Linked DNA regions of Styela clava. The protein of the gene in region 2 interacts with the protein of the main gene of each other region in a pairwise test. Links are inferred from orthologs where the notes say so. Each region holds a gene or a part of one and is shown on either strand. Other genes may lie near its edges.

Region 1 (12,745 bases), on a different chromosome or scaffold from region 2:
TATGGACACCCTATATATCTTTTCAAATAACATTAATCTTTCCCCTATTTTTCATCCCTATTTTTAACACATCACTCTTTTAATCATGTCCTAATCTAATCTAATATACATATGGAAACATAGATAATTATTATTTATATTCAATATTTTAAATTTGTGGTATCAAGAATAATTTGGACTAGTTTCAATTTAAAATTGTCAGATTGAGCAGTTGAAGTCTTACAATATAAATAAAAGACCTTCATTCCATTTCTTAATTTCTTAAAACTGTGGTTAATAAATAATCACTGATTATTGCATCCCCTCCCAAAAAAAATAAAAAAAATGTAAAGCCGATTTCAAATATTGTTTAACATTTCTGGATGAACTTGATGAATTTTCTCAAAAACGATTAAATGAATTTAATCCACTGTTAATCTTCTGCTTTGATCAATTACAATTATAACACAGTTCAATTGCATGATTCACAAGTTCAAACACATTCTCTGCCGGATTAAATCAGACTTTTGTAAAGTTAATACTTCGTTAAGCCAACTTCAAAGCAAGGATGATCGAAATGTGAAATTCTATAGCATAAAAGGAATTAAGGAATATCATCTTAAATTATTCACTTGGTTTTGGTATGATTCAGTTGGAAAATTCGAATAAATTTTGATTTTATTTTAAAAAGCGTTAGATAATTTTTGAATATTAGTGACTTGAAAATTACAATCAAAAGAAATATATTATATTTTATAAAATGATTACGGCCCCAACAAAGCGAATGCGATCGGCCGTGCCCCAGCGCCCTCACGGGGCTCCAGGTCCGAAAAGACTCGTCAACGGCGGACACGGACTACTCCTATAAAGATATATGAAAGTGGATTCCAATGATACAATTCATCCAAATACAATCTGCCATTACATTTTGTGTGGAGCCTATTTCAAACAGAATAAAACATCTCATAAACCAGTGGTTCCCAAATCAAGGCCTGTAACGATTTAATATGGCCCGCCGAACTTAAGTGAAATAGTTAGACACTTTATGTTTTTTCTTTTTGCCTCCAAGATACCACAAAATTGTTACATGATCATCATTATATTATTGTAACAATTCAAATATATCGATATGTTATTTATATGTACCGGTACGGGTATGGGCCCCTTGCGGGCACTTTCTCTCTTGGCCCGCATCCTTCCGCTTATAATTTTGGCCCCCGGTCAATCAAGTTTGGGGACCACTGCCATAAGAACATCCCATAATCCAGCTATTCTCAGACATTAACATGATCTTGTTAAAACATCACTGTAATCATGCTACATACAGAAATAAGAGACAAAAATTGACGAACATTATTATTAAGGTGCTCCTGAAGTATGCGAACCAAGATGGCGGACATCGAAACGTAGCATGGGTAACAGGTTAAAGTTAGGCCATAATTTTATTCCAATTTTCCCTATTTTAGTCCTACTATGAGTTCGAAGACTAGCCAAGTGCCTCTTGTAGTATTTGTACCTAAAATTATGGCCTAACCCTAACCTAGTACACATATTACATTCCGATGTCCACCATCTTGGTTCGCATACTTCAGGAGCCCCATTATTAATGTATCTCAGACAATTTGCAACTAAAGCAACTTTAGTAAGCAACTAAATTTCCCTGTCAAACATCTGACAATCTGTACTTCATCTTACCTGATTTTTCTTTTATTTCACAAAGGACTTGAAACAGAGCTCCTTTCATTCTATGAACATTCAATGCATGTTTCCTGAAAACATGAATAATATGCATTAATAAGTTAATTTATAGCAAATAGAAATAAGAGAACCACGCAGCATATGAAAAACTTGAAAATTTTGGCTGTGAATGGGAGCATATCCACGGCCCAGGAAGCAAATAAAAAATATCCTGAAAACTTTTAACATATTATATTCAAATATTCGATTCATTGGTGAGCTATCAATACTAAGTTTATTCTTATAGTTTAAATCCCAGCCTTGAGCACAACTTGTAAAACAGTCAAACATGGGTATTGATCTGACATTGGCAAAGTAAGTTTGGTAATTCAATCTGGCCCGCCTGATGCAGCCACAAATAAACTAAAACCAAATTTTGATGTTTTATCCAAAAAATAACATAACCCAAGTAATTTGTTGAGATTACGATTAAATTTGATTTTGGCATGAGGCTTATTGTAACACTGCAAATATTGTAACACTGCAAATATCGTTCATAAAATGTAACGTTTCATGTCACACTTACATGGCCCGCTAGTCTAGGTGGGCAAAATTGTTTAGCCCCTGGTGCAAAAATCTTGCTCCTCTGGTATAGATAGACAACATAATGTACCATATAGGCAGACATGTTTGGTGCAAACATCCTAAGACACCTAATTTACCACCACCTTACATAGTTTGAGATTTCCCGCTACAGATTTAAAGGTGTAAATAAAGTGAAAACGAGAATATCGGTCGGAGACCGAAGACTTATAGATCTTAGATCGGTAATTAGTTAATAACTCGCTAATTATACGACATAATTAACCCAAAATCTATAGGCTTCTGGTCCGAGGTAAGATGCATGCACATGCAAAATTTGGAGCAGATTCAACCACGCGTTCGTGAGATATCGCGTTCATCTAACAGACAAACAGACAAATACCTATCAACATACTTACCGATCTTAAGATCGATAAGTAACAATTAGAAATTTATTCAACATATTTTCAGACATCTTGTAAAAGTTTCATCAGCACAAGAGTGAAAATAAAATTTCCAAAATAACCTGGCTTGAGCTTCGTCCAAACTTTGGTCAGTAATCGTCATAATCTGTTGCAAAACATCACTGATGTCTTGTTTTCTACCGAGAGGTAGAATATTTGATTGTGAATCTACATCGTTGCCTTGTTGTCCTCGTGGATTGTAATCTCCACCTCCGTGCATTTGCCCTTGCAAAAATGCCTGGGAACGCAAAATAATAATGTTAGTAATGCAAAATTCACCCTGCTGATTCTGTAGGGTTATTTTTGTCCAAAGACATATATTGTGTTTAACGTTTTCACCAATTTTGCAGCCAAATCAAACTGGCAGGGGATATGTATTAGAATTTCAAGTGTAGTATCTAGTGTCATAACAATTTCACAGTCTCAAAAAGAATTGCCAAAGTACCTCGCAGTTTTTGCAAAAAGTGCGCTGATAGTGAACACTGTAGCCCAATGCTTTTCAACATTGTTTCCACGAAGCGCTTATTGGGGTTCTGTGGGATTTGGTAGCTCGGCGACAGATTCTCTTTCAGTGGACTGTGTCAATTTCCCTATACCTATATGTGTGAAGCAGTAATTTCTACTCTAGTAACTATTATGAATTAAAATATGAGTCGCTTGAATAGTGGATATGTGCATAAGGATTGCACTGAGCAACATGAAGCCACGATTTCAATGAAACACAGAAATATTCGACTTTCATAAATTTATAAGTGTTTTTGAACAATCGTGGTTCCTTGATGAGACCAATATCATAATTACAGTAGGGCACAGTTTCCTGATTCAAAAATGTCCCCACATTTGGTGCAATAAAACAAACACTTTATTTGTCTCGGAAACCAAGGCATCTGGACCAAAATAGCATTTTTTTTCATAACTCTCCAAGCTACACTGCTGTTATCGAAGCCAAAAGTAGGGGTTTGCATTCACTGTTATAATTGATGTCTTTCAATGTGGGGTCTTCCAATTCTCAAAGAACTGTGCCATACTGTATTAGATAAATATAAATTAAGTGCCACATGCTTTTTGGGGCAAAAATAATGCACTTAATGCAGAAGTTCTACTAGACTATAAATCTAGAATCCAAGTTTAAGGGTAATTCGAAATTTTCAGATTACATAAGGACAACCAACAGCATAGACTCTTAGAGTAAGCAATTGAAAGTGAAATCTTGAAAACTAGACAATATCATTTGAGATTATGCCGGTACAGATATAGATAGATAAGATAAGTTTATTTCGACTCCATAATCAGCAAAAAGGCATAAAACGGTTGATAAAAACAAATAAATAAAAACTGATTATGAAATCAGCAGAGTAAACAAAACCTTGGATAAGGTTTAAAACGTACAGAATACTGGAATATAAGATGGAAGGTACGGGTATTGCCAAAAAGAAGTGGTACGTGTTCATTCACCTAAAACTATTGAATCAAACCATTCACACTCACACACATGTAACTAGTATTAGAATATTAATCAAAATGAGAATTTGCAAAGTCATTTTTCAACTGATTGAGCAACTCACCTGGCTGCCGTAATTCCCTTCATCCATTTGTAGCCACAGAATTTCCTTCAATTTAATTTTGCTAGATCCAAAATCCTGAAAATTACTTATTATGTCAAAATGAAAAGAACGAACTAAATCTGTAGTCTAAATACAAAAATAACCTCCAGTCTGCCACTAGAATATAGTTCATTACATACCAAAAAAATCCAATATGGATATCTACCTGACCTACATAAGTCTGTAAGTAGGCTACGGTATTACTTTATAGATTACGGTACCACTTTATACAAAAAAAAATAATGAGAAAAGCGTTTTTTTCACACAAATGCACAACTACATAAAAATGAAACGACCCATAGGTCCCTGTTCGTGTTAATAAACTAAATTAGATCCTCAGTTTTGGTATTACAGAACCTCCAAAATAAGTAAATATGCCAAAATAAACAAAAGTAAATATCATCCTACCCGAAAAGCAACAAAAGTTTGAAGCAGCAAAGCGCAACTTCGACCGACTTGCGCGTGAAAAAAACACTTCGAGTGCCCACTTGTGGTCAAACTAGAATTTACTCTTATTTTATATCAACCCCGTGCAACTAACTTGTCCCATTATGGCGTCATATGGACGCCATTTTCGATCATTCGGCTCGAGTAGTGTAACGCAAACAAGCCTAATTTTAGTAGTTTTAAAAGGCTATTGGGGCAGATTTAAATCAGTAGTTATATTCCGAGGGCGCAGAAATCCGATAGGATGTCGGGGCATTTACATTAAAAACCCACGACGCTCGGTAACAAACATAATATAGACGCAACGCACGGTTAGTAAAGTAAAGTTTATTTCGGTTTTTCGTAACACTAAAACAAATATATAGGCAATGCAAGTCAACACACACTCATATAGCCTACGGAAAATCGGGAAAGTAGGCAAAATCTTAAACTATTCAAGACCTGCTGATGCTAGGGCTACCAACCGTCCCGGGAATGGCAGGGACAGTCCCGGATTTGACGTCTGGCGTCCGGAATTTACTGACAACCGAAGCGTCCCGATGGCGTGACAAGACCTCCGTGATGATGTTTCCATTAGGATAGTAGACAAACACAGTTTCACACTACAACAGGCCTAAATGACTAAAACTAACTAAATTTTTCGACAGTGAAGGCGACGTCAAATGGGACTGTAGCTAAATATTGATGTCAATGTTACATTAGAAATTCGCCCCTTTTTAGACACTCCAGGCTCCAGCTGCATAACTGAGTTGTAAACGTTCTTACCAATGGCAGTACAATGAGAGAGAGAGATTTCAATATTTTGTCAACCAAAAAATACAGTCATCAATAAAATAGCCATAGCCACAATTTTGAGAAAAACGCAAAAAACAATTTGGAATTTTTTCATTCTTGAATATCTATTCTAGTCTATCTATTCGAAGTGATCAATATTAAGTTTAACCCTGAGAGATGACTAATGGCAAAACTTGAACTATTTAGATAATATTTTTACAATAAATTTGTGAACAAAATGAGGGGATGTGATGGAAAATTATACCTGACTGATACCTGAATTCAATGGGGTTCGGACGATAATAATCAGAAAAAAAAAAAAATTGGCTATAAACACAAAGTGGATCAGGGACAAAAAAATTAATGTGATGAGGATGTGTCTGAGCGTGAATAACAAATAAAATAAAGTGCAACCCAGTGGACATACACATTACACAGAAACACATTGGATAGGGCAAGAGGAATTCTATTCATAGGTTTGTCATGATCTGAAAATGTTTAAAAATTGCATGAACTTTATACATATGTTTGGGATTTTTGCAACCTTGCACTCCAAGAATGTTAATACTTATAATGTACTTATCAATAAGTTTTAGCAGGTCGGGTTTTGAAAATGTTTCTGACTCACACAAGAGGATCAATCAATAGAAAAATTCAATAATTCACATCTTGGGAATCGTGTCTACAAATCAAAGCGAGCAATGATTATCATAGGAATAGTGAACATTTTTATTTAAATCTTTGGTGTTACAGTATGATTCATGAAACCATTACAAACAAACTAATAGTCTAGAATTTGGAAATAATTTGATTAACCAATAAAAAGAAATGATACTTCATATCAACTATCAAAGACATGAGAAAAAGACCATTCAATTGATCAAGAATAGCATGTAAATACCTTAATATGAAAGACATAGAAAAGAAGTGCTATTCGATTGATCAACAATTAAAATTTTAACAATTAAATAACAAAGAAATGAAAAAGGTACAATAATTGAAACTTCAGCAGTATGTGTACCAAGTGACGGTTAGCCCCATATTTCATTCCGACCTTCCTCATCTTAGGTCATCACGAGCTCTGAACTGCCCATGTCAGCCAAGCGATGGCGACTACATACGAGTGGCTGATTAAAAACGCAAAAAAATAGCACCCCCGTGTTATAATGAAAGTGTTATGTTGTTTCATATCGCAAAAACGATTAGAGGGAAATGCCCCCCCCCCCCCCCAATTTTCACATTTTTGTACTTTTTTATATGACCCAACATTATAAGTTTCTGACACAACTGGTTCGTCCTGGAGTCGGCTGTTTCAATCAAACCCAAAACGTTTAAGAAATGATTTACGAGACATTCAAACTGGCAATTAGAGTTTACTTTGGCATTCACAACTCACTGTAGGCCTATTGTTATTTTTTGAAACTTCATCTCAGTCAATATTTTAGTTGATACAATTCTTGATGATTTGAATTTTTTGGTGGATTTGGCACATCGAATATTGTCATTCCCTTTTATTTTAATTTTTTCCATTTATCCGTACTCTTCGGTTCAAATTGGTATTCTTCAAAAGTGAGTCTGAAAAAGGAATGAGTTGTAGGTTACACAATGAACGTACTTTCGAAATACCAAGCGTTCAGCATCCCATTTTAACACAAAATATAATTGACAGTGACTTAACGAAACACGCATTCAGTTCAGAAATTCATTATTTCCACTAAGCTCCGAATTGTCTACTCATATTGCTGCTAATTACTATAAATTTTTGTTACTGCAGTGCTTTAAACAATCGTGACAATAAATCTGATACATTCAATGCAATGTTCTGACTTTGCATTACTTAGGAAGATTTGAAAACAGTTTCCCTAACCTGCTGACCTGACATCTGAAGCCAGCATTTAGAAAATCTTACTAATTTAACTCAACTTTCCTGGGGTCAGAGCTAACTTAAATGAGTCGAATCGGCAACGTGACATAAATAATTAAATATGACATCATCCTAAAACTGTGTACCACCTATCTTTCCTGGTGTTAGTTTGACATTAGGCCATTCGTTTGACTAACCTCACTCAAGGAACTGCCTGGGCCAGATTTCCAGCCTTTACGTCGCCTACAGTTATTTTCCCATTTCCTCCTTCTCTGCATCTGATGATAGCTTCAATAGTTGCACTGTTTTGCTATTCCCGCTGCAATTAGAGTCGAACAGCCTTTAATTCTATAGCAGAAGGCACCAGCCTAGCCGCGGATCACGCAGAACCGCCGTAACCTCGCAGGCGATATTGATCGAAAATGGCGGCCAATTTCCATTGTTGCGCAACTTAGGTATATAAGGACTTTGTTTTATATCAAGGGCCGGCAACCAACTTGCCTAATGTTAAACAGGTCCATGGACGCCATCTTGTGCCATATTTGGAAAACACGAAACAATGGAGTCTTATGGGAAATTTTCGTCGTGTTGTTGTACCGAATCAAATAACTCAGCTGTTAGTGGAGCAAGACTGAAACCGAAGGGTGGATTTTCAACGCCAAGCTATGAACTATGTAAATATGTAATAAAATATGAAGTACAACACTATCTATTGCAAAAAAATTGGCCGCAGAGACAACGTTGTGCAATTTTTCGATCAGGTCCTCGGAGATCTTTATTGCGACATACCGATTTGACGCTTAACAATGCAAGTATTCTGACGCAACAATGGATTTTATGTAATTAGATCCAAGTCCTTATTTAAAATAAAAACCCTACACAATTCAAATACCTTGTGAAAATGGGATTTATTATTATCAAATTATGTATTATTTTGCTATAAATCCGAACACGCGTAACTACTCTTGCGCATGGAACAAACAGTCGAACACGCATAGTTCACTAGGACAAAAATATACTGTATATTTGAACAATATGTAAGTGGCCGACGGAATTTAGCTGAAAATATATTTTAATAGTATAAATGCATTCGTGTAATATAATTAATGATAACCGTAACGTTGATGAAGTAGAACATCGAAGAGTACCTAACAAAATCGAATAAATTAAAAACAATCAAAAAATTTCAAAATGGAATCAAAATATATATACAGGTCTTTGACTACCTAATATTTGTTGCGCGAGCAGCGCTTCTGCTAGCATATTGGTGGCATATACTTTTTTGGGTTGCTCTCCTAGCATAAATTCGCATTCTCAAGAGAATGTATCTATCTATAATTTTTTCAATTAAATTATGGCAACTGGAGAACAATGGTCGTCTTAAGCATTCGATTTTTTGTTTTAATAATGCTTTTGGATTAGGCTGCAATTTTAAAGTTTTTATGTTGAGCCGAAAAATAGATTCCAGTTGTTGAAAATATTTAAGCAGGGACAGTGATGGATGAATCAGGTGCATCGAATTTTCGGTTGATATTAAGTCTTTATTATATGATTTAAAAAGTGTTAAAAGGGCTTCGGGACAATCCTTCATATTGATCGTATATTCTTGCCTACAAAATGATTTTTCACACGTTTCACATTTTTCTATATTTTTAAGTTCTTTAAAAACAGCCCATCCTAAAATATAATAAAGCCCGTTGGACTCGCAAATGTCCATGCAGACGACTGCAGATTCAATAAGTGCGTCCACTTCATTGATTTCGATGTTCGGTTGTGGCTCATCATTCGTCAAAGAATATGAGGCATTGCTATGTTCTTTTATAAATGTTATCAAGTTTTCTGAGTCGTCCGTGTCGTAATTTCCACTCGAGGGAACGTGGAGAAACTGACCAACCGATATTAATTTTATTGCATTTCGGAATTGACATGCCTTCGGATGCGAATTTCCCTTACTTCGCACCTGTGATGTTAAAAACATTTCATTCAGAGATCACCATACGACTATATAAATGCAATTACGATTTATTTAATATATTCTATCGCTGTACTGAAAGATAAGACAAAAAATAACCTGAGAGAATAAATTCTCTACAGCATCTTGTGTTAGTTTTCCAGGTAGTAAAAAATTCATTTTTCCGCCTAGCACAATGTCAGCATGAAGCCCGATTATCGAAGTTGTTGATAACTTAATACCGGATTGAATTGGCTTCGATTTGTTTCCTGGAAATACTAAATTCTGTACGACGCCGATCACCTAAAATATTTGGTGCCCGTTTAGTATGCGATTTTACTTACAATATATATGATGTGTCACTTACAACAGACCTCGATAAGGTGATCGAGCTTTTTTCGAGAGTTAGGGAACAGAGCATTATCAATGGACCTGGCGTTTACAATATCGAACCATTTGTTGAAGAATGAACAGAAGAATGATGTCGACAAAGCATCTCTTGGCAGTACGCCACTCTCCACAAGCGTTTTTATTGCGCATGCTGTACTATGACTGATAACCTATGAAAGATGGAGTTTAATGTAAAATTCTAACTCATTGGTTTATGAAGAAAAAAAATGATTTAACAATATTTTATTTCAGCAAAAATGTGAAATTACGACTTTTATACTGTTACTTCAATATTTTTAAATAGGTAGAAATATACTGAAATACAGGTAGACCTGAGCCGCTAGACCAACTCTCATTTTTTGATATTTTGAAGGTTTTATATGCTTCTCCGTGAGCTTTGGGGCAAGTTTCATCTCTTTTTCTCTCTGTTCATCTGCCACTTTCTCAACGTAACAGAATCGAACCTGTGGTTAGATAAATTTTAGATTTAGCCTATAGGTATAATACACTTACTGCGCATTTTTATCAAGCACATTTTTGATACTCACCATTTTTGTCGGAAGATTATATTTCGTAACGACAGATGCTGGCAATTCAATGTCATGATTCATAAAAGCTGTTCGTAAATTTTTTATAAGGTGCGGTACGTCGGCAATAAAATGAAGTTTCCTATGTTCGAAAGCAGGGTGAGGCACAGACCAATTCACTTCGAATCTAAAATAGAGTAAGCAATGAGAAGTTAATATGGTGTAAATTGTAATGGATAGGCTTCTTCGTGATATATGTATACGCGGATATCACATCCTTAAAATTATTCAAACCTGTTAGAAACTATCCCCGCACTTCTCCACATTGCTTGATTGCTGGATCCCATGTCGCTGACAATAGAAACCACCGTGAATCCACGTTCTGATAGAGCTAATATCATTTGTTTGGTTAAGCACCATAGGTCATTTCCGCTCACAGAAGTTCCGGTGTAAAAATAACCTGAGAAGTCACAGCAAATTGGAATAGCCTACTATGTTTGATAGAAAACAACAAAATAATGAGCAAAACAAAGAGTATTCCACCCCACCTATAAGCTGCTTCCACTTCAGAGAAATTCCCTTAACCATGAAACATAGCGCATGTGAGGCAAACGTGTCTAGAGGTTTTCCACCAAGAACTTCAGGGTTAATATAACCAACAAACTCCTTAATGCCAATGTCGTAGTCGACTCCTCTGGATATCTGAACCTCATCCAGCATTACCGAACACAAATGAGCACGAGTATCCAAGCCTTCCATTTTTGTCTTCATCCAATCCAATATCAAATATTGAACCCCAGCTTTCAGATCCAATTTGAATACCCGTGAACATAACGTTCGATAAGCTGGAAGGGGGAACGCTATTTTGCGCAGATATTCGTACCTTAAAAAAACAAATAAATATATCATGTTCATTTGCATTCAAGGTGACGTTTACCGCAATGTTTATATGTATTACGTATATATATATATGTATCATGTTTCCGGAAACGCAAAATTTAAATATATTTTTTTTGAGCATGCCCAGAAATTAATTACGCATAATTGGTTTTTAACAACTTTTAGAATCTCAGCAGAGACTGAACTTATTTTTTTTTTATCATACCCAGAAATTCCTGTCGCACATCTAATTTGCAGGGCAGAAAGAATTGTTTCGTCAGTCCATTGATTTGCCCTGCTACCACGAGGCTTTTTCAGTGATTCCAGTTGGTCAGGATTCAAAAATGTATGTAAATTTTCCTTCAGTTTCTCCACTTGTTTTTGTAGTTGTGAAATCTAAGATGCAAGTAACGAGAAGATTTAATCAAGCTCAATAACTATGTTGTTAGTTCAAATTGACTAAAATACACGTTAATGGTTATCACTTAGGTTGCACCAGAATTTCGACAATTAAGCAAAAAAAAACGTAATATTTACTTGGAATTTTAGTCTTCTGTTTTCAGACAATAGTGCTCTGCAGGTAGAACAATCAGGCCCCGTAGTACTTTTTCCTTCAGCTAATAAAGCCTCATCTTCTGGCACCTCGGAAATAACCTGACGGGAAACTGGCCGACAATAGCTGTGTTCACATACTGAGATGCCATGATATATAATGAGAGTTTAAATTACAAATCAACAGATAGTGGCTATGTCGTGTGATATTTTATTTATTACACATAAAATATACACATACACGTTTCAAACAAACGAACAAGTAATGAAAACAAACAAATAAGTGCAGACATATAAGAGGATATATAACAGACGTACATATAAGCTAGGGTGACCATATTTCCAAACCGTAAATGGTGACCGTGAGTATTCGGCAGTTTTTTTGATCTTCGTCAACATTACCGGGTTATTTTTTCCTTATCGTACAATTGTCTGCAAGAATGCCGTTAAAATTGGGAACTAAGTGGGTATACTAACAACAGACTCAAAGCATGGATACTTGACATATTACAAACTGTTGATTATATCATAAGATAAATTCAAATATTTAATCCCGTGAAAAAGGAGGACATTTTGGCATTTTTAAGCGTCCTCGGAGGACGTAAATTCTTTATTAAAAACGGAAGGCAAATCATACACAAGCAGTACGTATGGCCACCCTAATATAAGCAGACATACAACAAATATAATTAATACCAGATTGAATGTCGTAGACATGACTTTCATGACCGAATTTCACATATAAATAACAAGCACGGCGGCACAAGGAAAAACACACAAAACAGAAATATAAACGAGCATGCACACGAAACTTGATACGATTCGACGTTTTTTGGTAAATGCAATGCTACATACATATGGAAGTTGGAAAGTTTTCTTTCTCCGAGTGCCTTTCTGTAGTTATCAAAACACGTCTTTTTCGCAGCAAGCTCGAACCAGAAAACTCAAAAATGGTAGGGACAGCACCAAACTTTAATTTTTTTTTACCATCTCTTCTGTTGTTTTCGAGTTCTGTATCTTCAAAATGTCTCTATCAAAAACATAATCAACTAATT
Region 2 (13,370 bases):
CGCAGTAGTCAAATTAGTGTCAAAACTATAATACAACATGACGGTACGTTTTACAGTTGAATATTATGTAAATACATAAACCATGTTTCGTGGCCTGTATCTTGTGCTTGAGGACATTACTTCGTTTGAAAGTATCGAAAGCATAAGAGATTATTTTATTCTTGTATGAGTCGTTATTTGAAGCAGATTAGAATAAACTCGGAACAATATATCAAGTTTAATGCGGTTATTTTACTCATTTTATTCTGCCATATTTATTACATGGATTTAGTATACTGCACATACCTATTACAAGAATTTCTTAATAATCTAGTTATTCTATTTTGAAGAAAATCATAAAATATATTCAACATTTTATTGATATTAAAAATATAATGACTTCGCTGCAAAAAAACAACAATTTTTTCAAATTTTTTTTTTTTAAAACACCGTTTTTCATAATATTACCAGTTTCAAATTTATTGAACATGAAACTTTCATATATTCCCACCTAAAATTTGACGTTTAACAAAATTTGATTACCAAAAATTGGACTGATATGTATAATTTGAATAACACAATTAATTTTAATAACACAATTCGTTCTAAGTTGTGGTATAAAGTTATGCTTGTTTCATTTGGTACAAACTTTTTAAAGCACCATATTATGTTGTCTCAAACTCAGACGTAGGACAACCAAGTTGCATGGTTTTACAGTTATTTCCTCGCATAGGAACTAATAGTACTAAAATTAAATATTTCAGTAAATATTTTTTTCCATAAAAAGTTGTTGTGTTGATAGCACCGAATATACTGTAGATTGAAAAAATGGTAAGCAAAAATGCATGCTATTAATGTGTAATCATTCTTCAGGCAAAAATTAATTTTACAATTTTTTGCTGATATTATCCTACTTATCAGTTTGACGTATATTAATGGGATGAATCTATTATTCGATTTTTTTTCTTGTACAAGAAGCATGTGTGGACGACGACCAACACAAAACTTCAAAAACAAAATAGGCTGATGATGTTCGGTGCTGATTAGATCATTAGAATAATAAACTTTCTCGTTATCCAGTCACGAGCTGATTCTGTTTTTGATTGTAAAATTCAAATATCTCTTTATCCGATTGCGGATTAAACGCATCAAGGTGAAAATCTCTTTCCTAAATCATTTTTCTTCAGAGCATGATCAGTAGATGGGAGTGCCACATATCTATGAGCCAAATGTACTTTACGTTAATTTCTATTACTCGGTTGATCGTTTTTAGATATACCGAGACGATTTATTTCTTGATAAACTCTCGTTACGTTAATGTTTGAATTCGCTTTTTAAAACCTGTCAATCACTTTTACCACCCTGAATTTGACCAGAAAAATGTGGTTTCCATATATGATATAATACGAGCTTCAAAAGCGACATGTATTTTACAGTATAATTAATGAAAAATTGGATCATCATATAAAGATGTATTTCATGATAAAAAAAAATGACATTGCATAAAAAATCAGTCGAGAATTCGCCATCGAAAAAATTTATTAGAGTACTATTTCTCTATACTGATCTGCGAAGGCAAATTAATACACTCACAAACAAAAGCAAGATAGCCTATTTAAAAAAATACAGGCAGTTGCAAGCAAGAATTCGCAACACTAGGAGATACACTAGTTATAAATGGTTTCTCTTATACAACTCAGACTTAGACTTTTTCTTTTACCATTAAAAAAAGTGAATCAGAAACATTTGTAGTGTTTAATTTGCATAACAATAAGCATGGTTGTCATGTTTTATCTAATTATCGCTTGTTTTAACACTCATTAACACTCCTATTACCGCACTAGTTAACTTGTCACAGACTTCCCCTAATGTGACAAGCAGCAAACAGGGTCTGAAGACATTTTTCATTTGTCACATGGTTTCCAGCGTTTCCTCTTTTATAGGAAATCAATTTGGCAGGTTCATAAAATTTTTTGACAAAGTACCGGTTATATGTATAGCACGTGTATGGTTTGATTACAAGATCTTACTGTAGTTGTTGCAATATATTATGATATCATATACCCACACTTTTCGTAGTCAGTGCATAATCGGTGATATTTGTCTAATATAAGGTACAATATTCCACTGGATTAAACTCTAAATTAGCACTCTGTAGAACTATTCCATCAACTACTGAATACACTCAAGACGAGTGATATTGCACTTCTAACTTGGACGCTTCCATGCAAGCGAAATAAGATACTACGGATTGAATACAGGGCATGTATCATATCTCATATAGTAAAAGTGCACGATTGTCTTTTAATTATCTTGTGATCTTGTTGCATCGATTTCATCCCTACAGGAAGCATTTGATCATAAATCACGACTTAGAATTAAGGTTAAGTATTAGTTACACAAGTTGGATTTCAGACGTCACTTGATAAAATAGACGCATTTGATATATTTTTGTATAGGTTATTTTAATGGTTCAAAATATATTCGTTGTTGCGTTCTGGCATGCAGTTACTTTTTATTGGCACCTCATTAGTAAGCAATAAAGATGATTCGATGCAATAAAATCTCGATCGGGTTTTGTTACGAATGGAACATTGTCTTTGCTAATGGTGAAGCAATATAAAATGCTTGACAAATTTGATTAACTTTCCCGCCACGCCTATTTCGCAGTCTGATTTCTATGCTTAAGTATCGATTTAGTCAACAATAAAGAAATTGTCCTCAGTACGCTTGCATAAGACAATTGATGGGACAAAAACAACATATACTGTAAATTGAGCGAAACAGGGCAGCATGAGAAGCCGGTGCTACTTCACAATGATACGTTCCCATCAACAGAATCTGGTCAGCTTCGTTACTTCCTACGAACGCGAAGACGTAAAAAGGGGATTGCGTTCTGCTTTGGTATTTCACGCTCTACGGACTCGCTGTAGGGGTTGTTAATAGCCAAGAAGGACTTCAGCGAGGTCAACAAACGGTCAGGCGACGATAACGAGTTTCAAGAGCTGATAGAGAGTGGGAAAGAATTGCACAAACACATACCAACACAACAATTCATTTCAAAAACAAAACGAAATCGAGAACCAGTAGAACTACTTTGTTTGATTTTTATATGATTGTCAGTAAGCTCATTGTCGATTTTGACCTTCTTCAATGTTGAGGTTTTTATATGGGATGTAGATATAAGGAATATGGAAATTTATATATATTTTTTTGATTTACGCGTTCGAAATTGTGAATATCGCTTTCTTTCATATTGCCCATCTCTGGAAGATAGGCTTAAAGTTGTTCATTGACTTAACCGGCACTCAAATTTTTATTGTGCGTAAATTTTGTTGTTTCGGAATTATATGATCGAAACAAAATGGAGAAAAGTTGCAATGGTGAATTGATGAAGCGGAAAAAATGTCGATCGAACGCTTGTTTCCCCTTTCTTCACACTCATTGCTTTTACTTGAACTTGCGATCATACGGAACGATAACAAAATGGCGATTTTGCAGCGAACTAGGTAACTATATCTTGTAAATGTTTATTCATTGTGTAAATGGACGCCTACAGTCCATGTTTATTCTGGTAGCTTGTTTTACTTCTGGATAGACACGTCTATCATACGATAGTGTAACTACGTCTGCCGAGTTCACGTCTTCAACGATTCACGAGAGTCTCAAGACGCAGTCTGAACAGGGGAAGCTTTCCAGACTAAACATACTATCCTCGTATACGTACGTATACAGGTATAGCATTCTCTTATAGTAGTTTAGTGAACGTATATCACAATCAGGTAGCTTTATTTTGTTGTAACGTTGGTTGGAGAGATGTCAGCTTTGATTGTATATTACTTATTGAAATAACTTTCTTGTGACCATAAAACAATGTATCACAAGGGTGGTTACCGGGACACAGTCAATTTAGTAGGCTATCCTTATTTGCAACATAAGTCAAAGAGAAAGGAAACTCTATTGTATTGTATCAACTTAACGAAGGTAATCAGGTTTGTTGGTTGGTAAAGTGACGGCTTAGTTTCGTTGACGTTATTAGGGATAGCCTATGCAAGCTCGTAAATATCACATGTTGCTTTAACAGTACCAATATTTTATCTTTCAAAGTAAACATATTACGTAAAATTATATAATCTTGTACTGTAGTCCGGTCCCATGTTAAGCCTACCAATCACAAATGTATCAATGATTTTCGTACGATATATTGTCTCTTTTTTATGTTAATGAAAAGGATGTTAATTCAATATTTAGAAAAGATGATTGACCTTAGACTATGCTTTCAAAATATTCTATCTAACGAATTCTTTTAATATAAACGCAAACAGAGCCAAGGTGTTTGCATCCTGTATTTTCCCATGTTCTGTTCGATGCACCAGTTGCTGACCTTTAACATTCTACTTTCAGGTCAATATTTAATCTGATTGTATTTCACATTACATGCCTTAGAACTTTTATAACTCAACATTAACCTAATATTTCATGAGTGATTCAGTAATTTGTTGTTACTGTTGCATTCAAGCACTGGATTTATTTTTAACTCGGAAAGGCTGCGAATAAATATCCTCACCTATAAAAGAGATCGATTGGATGGCAAATAGGGTAAGTTATTTTTTATATTTTTGCTTAACATTATAGATCATGAAATGCTGTATTTCTAGGGTATTTAGAGAAGCTTTACACAGAAACGGTAAGATAATAAACATTTGAAAAAGAGTTTGAAGCAAGTACGAGTTGAATATTAGGCATTATAATTTTTGACTGAGAAAATAGATGGAATTGCAGCAATGTGGTTACATTCAGGAAAGTTTAAAACTGTATAAGTATGTTTAAGAACGTCAATTTTAGAAAATAAAGATATCTGCAGCTAACTTTGAATAAATTATGTCACTCAATATTGTTATGAAAAGAACAAACACTTTCGAAGCATGTATGTATGTTTATTTATTTCAATGAAAATAAATTTGCAAAAAATATTTTGCCAACGTTTTGTTTTACATGAAATATACTAGTATGTATTGAATATTTTGCAGCAATTAAGCATCGCAATAATTTGTTGGCATATTGTTATCATAATATTATAAATTTCTCATGATTGAATCGAGTTTCTGTTTTATCAAATCAAAGCAAGTATTCTCCCATATTTTGAATATTTTATCCTTGAATACATCAGTCGCCTTTTGCAAATTATTTTCATGCGCGATCAAGACGCGTTTTCATGGGTTTAGCTAACTGCTGGATACTTTGTTTCGATATAACGCGGATGCCAATCAACCTTTGCTGTTGGGATTATAAGGCTACTGTGTTTGGCAGAGGTTTTATCACAGTATGAAACTTGAAGTTCGATCTATGATGGTATATGTACAATAAAATTTCACTTCTTTCTGTAGTTAAATTTTTAACATGCAATTGGCAACATGTTTCAAAATCCATAATTTATTTTCATTTGTAACTAACGTTTTCATCGTTAGATATTTGATTGAATACTAGGGCAAAGCGGTGAAAATTTTCCCTGGAGTTCAAGTATTCAACTAACTGCTGAATAATTCTCTTTTCCATGCCTTCATATATCCACCATGTAATGTTGAGGTACACAGGTCGATTCTAGTGCGTATGATAAATGATCGATTTATTGTCTTGTACTTTACGACAACAGCAGAAAGAACGCTAGGTTCTCAAAAATTGACAAGCAAATGGCATTTGAAATTTAAATGGATTTTTGCGCCGCATAAAAAGCAGCACTAAAATTTTTTTGTTTTATTCCTAGTAAAACAATGAACCACCAAGAGATAGGATATTTAATTTGAAGAAAAAATGGAACATATTGCCTTAGGGAATCTTTTTTGATAAAAAATCGAATTGATTTTTTACCATTTTTTCATATTTTCACTCTTCATCTCGTATTTTTAGAAATTGATAAATTTATAATAATTATTTTGCTCAGTTGTGAAAATGTATAAACATGTTGTTCAGTCATCATCATATGTATATATGCAAATACAGTATATTTAAACAGAAAGGTATTCTGGTTTAGAATTGTAGAGACTGAAGTCTGTGTATTTTCAGGTTTCATATTTTGCATGTGTATTCCATTAACCAGTTCTCATGATAGGCCTCATGATATATATATTACTATTATTTTGGCGAACACCTGTCGTATCTCGGTTAGGCATTGTTATTTAGAGTAGATTATGCACCACGGCTATTGTACTCACTCACCTATTCTAATGATTTCTTTAGGTGATCGAGATAATCATGGTGTTAGACCGATCTAGGGTTTTATATTTGCATATTACGTTGGATTGCATAAAGCCTCTGGTCAACAAATTAATATGTAAAAGAAAAATATACACACTCCGCCATGACTTGTCGCCTTCTTCTGATTACGACGTTCGCGACACAAATCTCGAAGCAATAGATCCGCATTGCCCACATTCTTAGCGTAAGAGAGGAGTTAACAACAATGCGGTTGCGCTTCCAACTCCGAAAAGAAATGCCGCAATCCGAGCGTGAAAACTGACCACCGTAGTTCATCACCTCGCTGACACTGAGTCAGTCGCCTTTTAATATCTCAAACTTATAGTTAGTTGGCCGGAGGGGAGTGACGTTTTTATGATTTAGACGTGAAAAATTTGGGTAGCTTTTAGTTTAGATAACGCGACGATGGTTACGCTAGTGCGTGTAGTCATCAAAAAATAAGTGAAAATATTTTTAATAGAACGTGATACTTGAATAATTGGAAAGTTGAATATAGCTATTAAAATTGTCTTGATTCAGTTGTTATGCTCCATATACTTATGCTAGTTTTGGAAGAAGTAATATTTGTTGAAATATGCTGATAACGCAGATAGTACTATTATTCCAGACAAAGAACTAACGCCGTACCAATTAAAATGGAGTCGCTTTTCAGGCCAGACAGATCACATCTTTAAACGCAGGTACATACACGCACCTACGAATCTAGCAGGCTTTCTTTTTCTCGCACGGTTATGCTAATGTGCGGCGCGTGTAACATTTCGGCATTTTTGCAGTTCAATACGTGACAGTTAATACTATTAGTGTACCTGTGTGTTTTTGTTACATTATCGCGCATGCTAATACACCTGGACCAGCAAAGCACGGCATTCGCGGTATTGTCATAAACCGGATTATATTGCCAGAAGTCGGACAAGTAGCTTAGAATCGAGGTGGAGAGTCAAGAACCACAGAAAAGTGAGAATTGAAGAAGGAATAAAGGCTCAAATGGCCGCGACAGTTTGTGTGAGTTGCGATGAATATTGGAGTTGTTATAGTCGATTGTCGTTTTTTTTTTGTCTATTTTCGATAGTTGTGCGTTGTGTAAAAATTTTGAATCAAAAAGGTAACGTTTTATTGAAGTCGAAGTTGTTAAAAAAAGCAAATATCATGGAAGCAAGTCGAATTTAATTATAGTTAGCAACCCGTCAGCCATTTTATAAATTTGTGACGACAGCATTGAAGAATAAACTTTTTAATGTAGAATAGCCGTTTGACAGTGTTTATGAATAGTTGGGGCTGATTCTATTTAAAGCTATAATATACTTTTTAGTATGACGATCATATGGGCCACTACAACGGCATGGCAGCAACGGATATGAGCACAAACAACTCGGTAAGCGGAGGATTATACAACGGTGAAATCAATCGGTCGATGCCGCATATTCCGCACATCAATCACGGTGGATCTATGTCGCATTACCCGGCCTCTGCGCCTATCACTCCTCAGTCAAACTCTATGCATAATACACAAGCACCTGGATCATCAGGCATAGACGATAGGCTAAATGACACAGAACGTTTGAACATGAAACGTGATAAAGACACAATTTATTCGTGAGTTTATTTTTTATATTAAAATGTCACAATATATTTTGTTAGCTCCATTTTACAGTATGGAATTTTTAAATACAAATTTTGTTTAAATGTTTCCAAAGATATAATTTTTAATCGTATTATATATCAATATTATAATAATATCAAATATTAAACATGACAAATATACACTATTTTACCTATTTTCAACTAATTTATATTTATGGGTTCGTCCGAATTTTTTTATTTATTTTACAACGAGATTCTTTCTTCTATACATGCTAAAAATATCCCAATTCTTCAGAAAAAGTATTTATTTCAATATTGAAATACTAAACAATCAAACAATGAATGCCGTAAAAAAATATTTCCAAAATATGCAAAATTCATGCCACAAGTCATGATCACAAACCGAAATAACCCGAAGCGCTGAAATAAATCAGTTTAAAAATATAAGAAAACGTGGTATTGTTAATTGACTAAATTGTGTAATAGATAAAAGTGGACAATCGCTTGTTTATGGTGGTTGATGATATTTTCGTTTTCTTATCGTTATCGTCTTTTCGTTTATTTGTAAATTGGAGCATGAATGCATATACCATCATCGTTGAAAAATTAGTCGCAAAATTCATCACGTTACAACAATATATCTAAACGTTTGGATAATAATGACGATAAATACAAATATGGCTAAATAACCTGACACGCACATGAATGCTTCAAATTATGTATTCATGCCAAATGTGTAATAATCATATTATTGCGTGTCTGCTACCGAATTACATAACTATCCCTGGCACGACTCCTTCAGGATGTTAAGATAGTTTTCATCATTCGTGCCAAACAATATCACTTAAAGTGAGACACTATCACGAATATGTATGCTAGTTTATATTTATTATTACCTCAGATAAATTTGAATATACTCATAAAGTAAGTAGTTAACGTTTAAAGGTATACTTTGTTTTAATGAGACTTTTAAATACAAAGACAAACTGGGGAAATAAGATAGTAAGGCCATCGACATTCTTCTATTGTTTGTCGCACACTTTGCCGATTTTGAAACTAGGGCACGTGGAAACGCAAAATAAAGAATAATCACAAATCCGTGGCTAATCTCCGCATCAGATCGGAAACTGTATTGCACCGTACAATAAAAAGATTTAACTAAAGTGTGATCTATTTCCGATAGAAAAACTCTGATGAGATTTTTATTTTCATTATGAATGACAGACAGGAAATATGACTAACACTTGACTGTGCAATTGAATCAAAAACGTACAGATTAATTTTTGAGGTGAAACACAGTTTTAAAGTGTTCCTAATTTTAGGCATATTCAATATTATAATCCTAGCATTTTATTATTGCTTTATCAAAGATTTTATTTTATATATATCATGTACACACAACGACGAAATAGTAGACGAAATAATTCAAAAACGTAATGATTGACTGCTTATTTTTATCTATCTTCTCAGCTCAGAAACTTATGAAATTTCTTTCAGTATTGATGTTAACATTTTTTCCTTCTATTTAGACATCCCTTGTTTCCTCTACTAGCACTCGTATTTGAAAAATGCGAACTTGCAACTTGCACACCGCATGATTCTACCGTAACAGCCAGTGATGTATGTTCCTCAGATTCCTTTAACGAAGATATTGCTTGTTTTGCTAAGCAGGTAGGAAAACTGCATAATGTTATCACATGCTAATTAAATTTAATAGAAGCATGCTACTCTGTCAAGATTATATTAGACGTACTAATACATTATCCTTGAGTGCATATGACGACAAAGATTTTGTCTTTTCATATATACGCCACATTAGTTGTGTGTGGTATTTTATCACAGTGGTCTTGTTCTCCTTGTCATGCTGACTATATAATTTCGTAATCTACATTTTTCTTAATGGAAATGCATGCAAAAGAGTTTATAAGGAAGATAGTGTCACCTTGAAAAATATGACCTTAATGAGCCCTCCAAATTAAATTTTATTGCAAACTTGTTCTTCTGCTTATATTTATCCATATGAACGAATAAATTAGCGTAATTAATTTTATGTTTTGTAATATTCCTATTTGCTCCATTCATATAACGTGGATTTCTCGATGAATGAGCGTTGCAAATTATTATGACAAGTCGGCCATGTTGGTTTCGTCAAAACTGACGGCGATCCTCTTTTATAACCCATCACGATATCGGAAGCAATGCAATGAAATATCTTGGTCGTTCAATATTTCTGGTGACATATTGGCATAAACCTTGTCATGAACTTTGATAACACTTGCATTTTGTCACGTTGCCTTTGTCGTTTATGGACAAGCTGTAACCAATATTTCTGAAGTAACCCAAATATTGTTTAATATCGAGACATTGTCTCGTAATCGCGTTTTTTACTCCAAATTTGCTTTTTTAAATAATGTTTATTAAGAGTCGATATGATTCCGTCCGTGGCTGCTTGTTCACCTCTTGTAACAAAATAGAAACAACAGTAGATTCGGCAATACTTCATTTTCATCTAGCATAATTGGTGTACTGAAACAATACAGAAACAAGGATAATAATATGTGTTTCTCAAATTCGATGGTCCGTATCTGTGAATGAGAGTGTGTCGACGGTAACGACAGAATCAAATTGTTATCGCTCTAATCCAACGTGCAAAACATTACAACTCTGTTAATGGGTTAATAAAAAGAGAAATAAATCTGGAGTCGTCGATTGTGGATTCGGGGTGAAGGAAAGGTCGACTCGGATTATGACGTTCCAAATTTGGCACTTCTCACTTAACAATCGTCACCTCCGGCAAATCGCAGCAGTGCGCCGTAAAATCAGTACGAGTTATTGGCTTCTCCTTCGCTCCATCATAATGATATTGTTACCACCATATTACTTTCAATTATTCCTAGCGGTAATAATTGTTCCGCACCCATTTTCCATCGGATGCCCTGTTTGTAAATCGAGCATGTCGATTCGCAGCCGCTGATTATCGCCAATTATCAATTTTTATTCACACTTCTAATTACGACTCACTGCCTTCTCCGTTCAGTTACCATTCTTCTGATTTTTTCCTATTGTAATCGAGTGCCAATTTTTAATCGAATAAACGAACAGCACCGTCACGGTTTCAAATAGATTTCCAGTTTAATTGTATGGATATAGAAAACTAGACCAAATCGCCGTTGGTGGATCCCTGCTACACTTTCCATGAAATCGTTAACAATAACATTTTGTTGATGACTTGGAAACAGTCAATAATTTCAACTGCTGTGAATAATTAGCGGAGTTCTGTGTCATCAGTTCTTTGTGCAATATTACTATACTTAACACTTAAAAAATTTTATATTCACAGATTCAAAATGAAAAAAGACCGATATCTTTCGACCCAAACAATGAAATTGATAATTTGGTAAGTTATGCAATGCTGAATCTCTTCTTTCTGTATTTCCTAACCGTTGTGAATGAAAGCTATAAATTGATTACCAGGGTATGACGACAGCATTGCAGATAAATGGCTAACAACAAAAAGGCAAACTTGGTACATAAATCAAAATAGCACTCGAAACCACAACATGAAATTCAAATTATATAAAGACTTAATTGTCAAAAAGCCACCTTAATCAAAGTAACGATAATCTCAAGATATGATCAAAAATAAAAACCATAACGTTTACATAAAATAGGGCGGAATCTTTGAGGAACGGTTAAAACCAGATATCAAAAGTAAACTACATATGAATCCGTTAGCGGTATAAATTGAATATAAACAAAATTGTATTTCTACTAGCTTTTTTATTGATGCCGATTTTCAGCTTCAACTGTAAAACCAAAACGTCGCAAAGAATTAGCTGCTAGCCGCCGGCATAAATATTCTATTGTTTCAGCTGTGTAGGCAGCAATTTTCTTCCATCCATTGATGCATTTTTAAAATAAAATTTATATTTTATCACAACTATCTAAATTTCATGTCTATTTAAAGTGAAGTTATTCTCACATTTGCATATCTTTGCACCATCAATCCGAGGCTTTTCACAATTGTTAAACGGTTACACTAATTTGACCACATATAGTAGTCGAGTTACCAATAATGTGTTAAAATTTCGTCTAGTAATTTTGTTATTGTATATAATAGCGCTGTTGCTTATTTTGTTAGTTACTTACCTAAACAAAAACGAACAGAAAATTACTGCTAAATTTGAAGGGGAGATAATCATCTTTTTGTAAAAGATAATATGGGACCTGTATTACGAGATAGAAAAATAAGATTGCATGACAATGGCACGAATATTACTTTAACAATACGAACCTAAAATTTAAGGGTTAGCGTGAAATTACGAAGCCTACAAAAACGATTTTGATATCAGGTGTCTTTATTTTGCTGTAGCTGATATTGAACCTCTCTTTGATACGTATGACGCATTGTACTGGAAGAAATAATGATAAGTTCGTGATATAACTAACAAGAAAATCGCTATCTTTTCTCTCAATTTCAATTTTGCACGACAAAACTAGGGCAACGTGAATCTGCTGTTCGCAATGTAATCCCCATTTGCCAAACCGTGTATCATGTCCATACGGAAAAAATTTTGTCGACGTTTTTAACACTGTTATCACTAAACGTTTCTTCCTTCGCAGCAACGGACGGTATTCGGCAAAAGTGCAACTTTTACTTTGAAATATAAAAAGCATTGTGATTCACTATTCCTCCACTATAGACCCCTATATTATATCATAAGATAAATATTTCATCAACGTATTATGTGGTACTAAAAACGATGTGAAGTCTCTGCCACATGTTAATGGAAGCTATCTTTAGTAAAATTTGAACAGGACCAGGAGTATAAATGACAAAATTCCGGAAATAAAATGAAGTTAAGTACCATCGCCCACGTTAATCTTTTTCACACCCGTTTTTAAGATAGCAACTGCCATCATCGCCCAGTCGCTAGTAGTCTTTGTTACTTTCACTTTTTGATGGGCGTCACTCGCCAGGATTAATATGGAGGCTTCCTCATAGATATCGGTATGGTTGAATACCAAATATTAAATGCTGATGCCGCATCCAATGTTCATATATTAGTATATTAATAACTAACAGGCCTTGGACTTGGAGTTCTTATATATATATATGCATATAAATTGTTGAACTACCTTTTGTCCTAACTAAAAATACAGAACAAAAACATCCATTCAAGCTTCAACGTATCAATCAGGTAATCAATCACATTTTTGATTTGACGGCGTGACTTTTTTTTATATAAAATATTGGCGTAGAATGATACTGCAAAACAACCCAGGTGTGTTGCTGGATGATTTCAGTATTACAGCAAAAAGAATTCTATCAAATCTTTTGAAGTAATATCGTATTTAATATAACAACATATAAAAATATACGCTATTTGCATCGTTTATAACACACGACTCTATAGCACATCAGTACAAATATGTTGCGACATTCAGTAGTTATATTAGAGCAATAGTACTTCCCAATATATTTTTACACGGTTTTAAAAAAGGATTGAGCAATATTTTTTTAGTTTATATATTTCTGTTTAAAAATTTGCAGA

The links.
Region 1: the proteins of homeobox protein Meis1-like (region 2) and pre-B-cell leukemia transcription factor 1-like interact in binary tests that used the Caenorhabditis elegans proteins (3 or more experiments, as listed by UniProt). The link is inferred for Styela clava from reciprocal best matches to the Caenorhabditis elegans genes unc-62 and ceh-20.

What each region holds. Positions count from the first base shown.
Region 1 is NC_135254.1:7,434,266-7,447,010, reverse strand, and holds the start of pre-B-cell leukemia transcription factor 1-like, read right to left. Parts: upstream 4,784-12,745; 5' UTR 4,715-4,783; intron 4,343-4,714; 5' UTR 4,295-4,342; coding exon 4,268-4,294; intron 2,941-4,267; coding exon 2,765-2,940; intron 1,749-2,764; coding exon 1,675-1,748; intron 1-1,674. Other genes in the region: uncharacterized protein LOC120327068, read right to left, coding at 8,873-8,930, 9,023-9,351, 9,463-9,522. UniProt on the Caenorhabditis elegans protein: Transcription factor that binds to the 5'-TGATNNAT(G/T)(G/A)-3' PBC/Hox lineage enhancer region of sem-2 to promote cell fate specification in the postembryonic mesoderm (also known as the M lineage).
Region 2 is NC_135253.1:13,940,826-13,954,195, reverse strand, and holds the start of homeobox protein Meis1-like, read left to right. Parts: upstream 1-6,596; 5' UTR 6,597-7,218; coding exon 7,219-7,236; intron 7,237-7,543; coding exon 7,544-7,827; intron 7,828-9,344; coding exon 9,345-9,486; intron 9,487-11,155; coding exon 11,156-11,212; intron 11,213-13,370. UniProt on the Caenorhabditis elegans protein: Acts redundantly with ceh-20 and ceh-40 to perform overlapping roles during embryogenesis.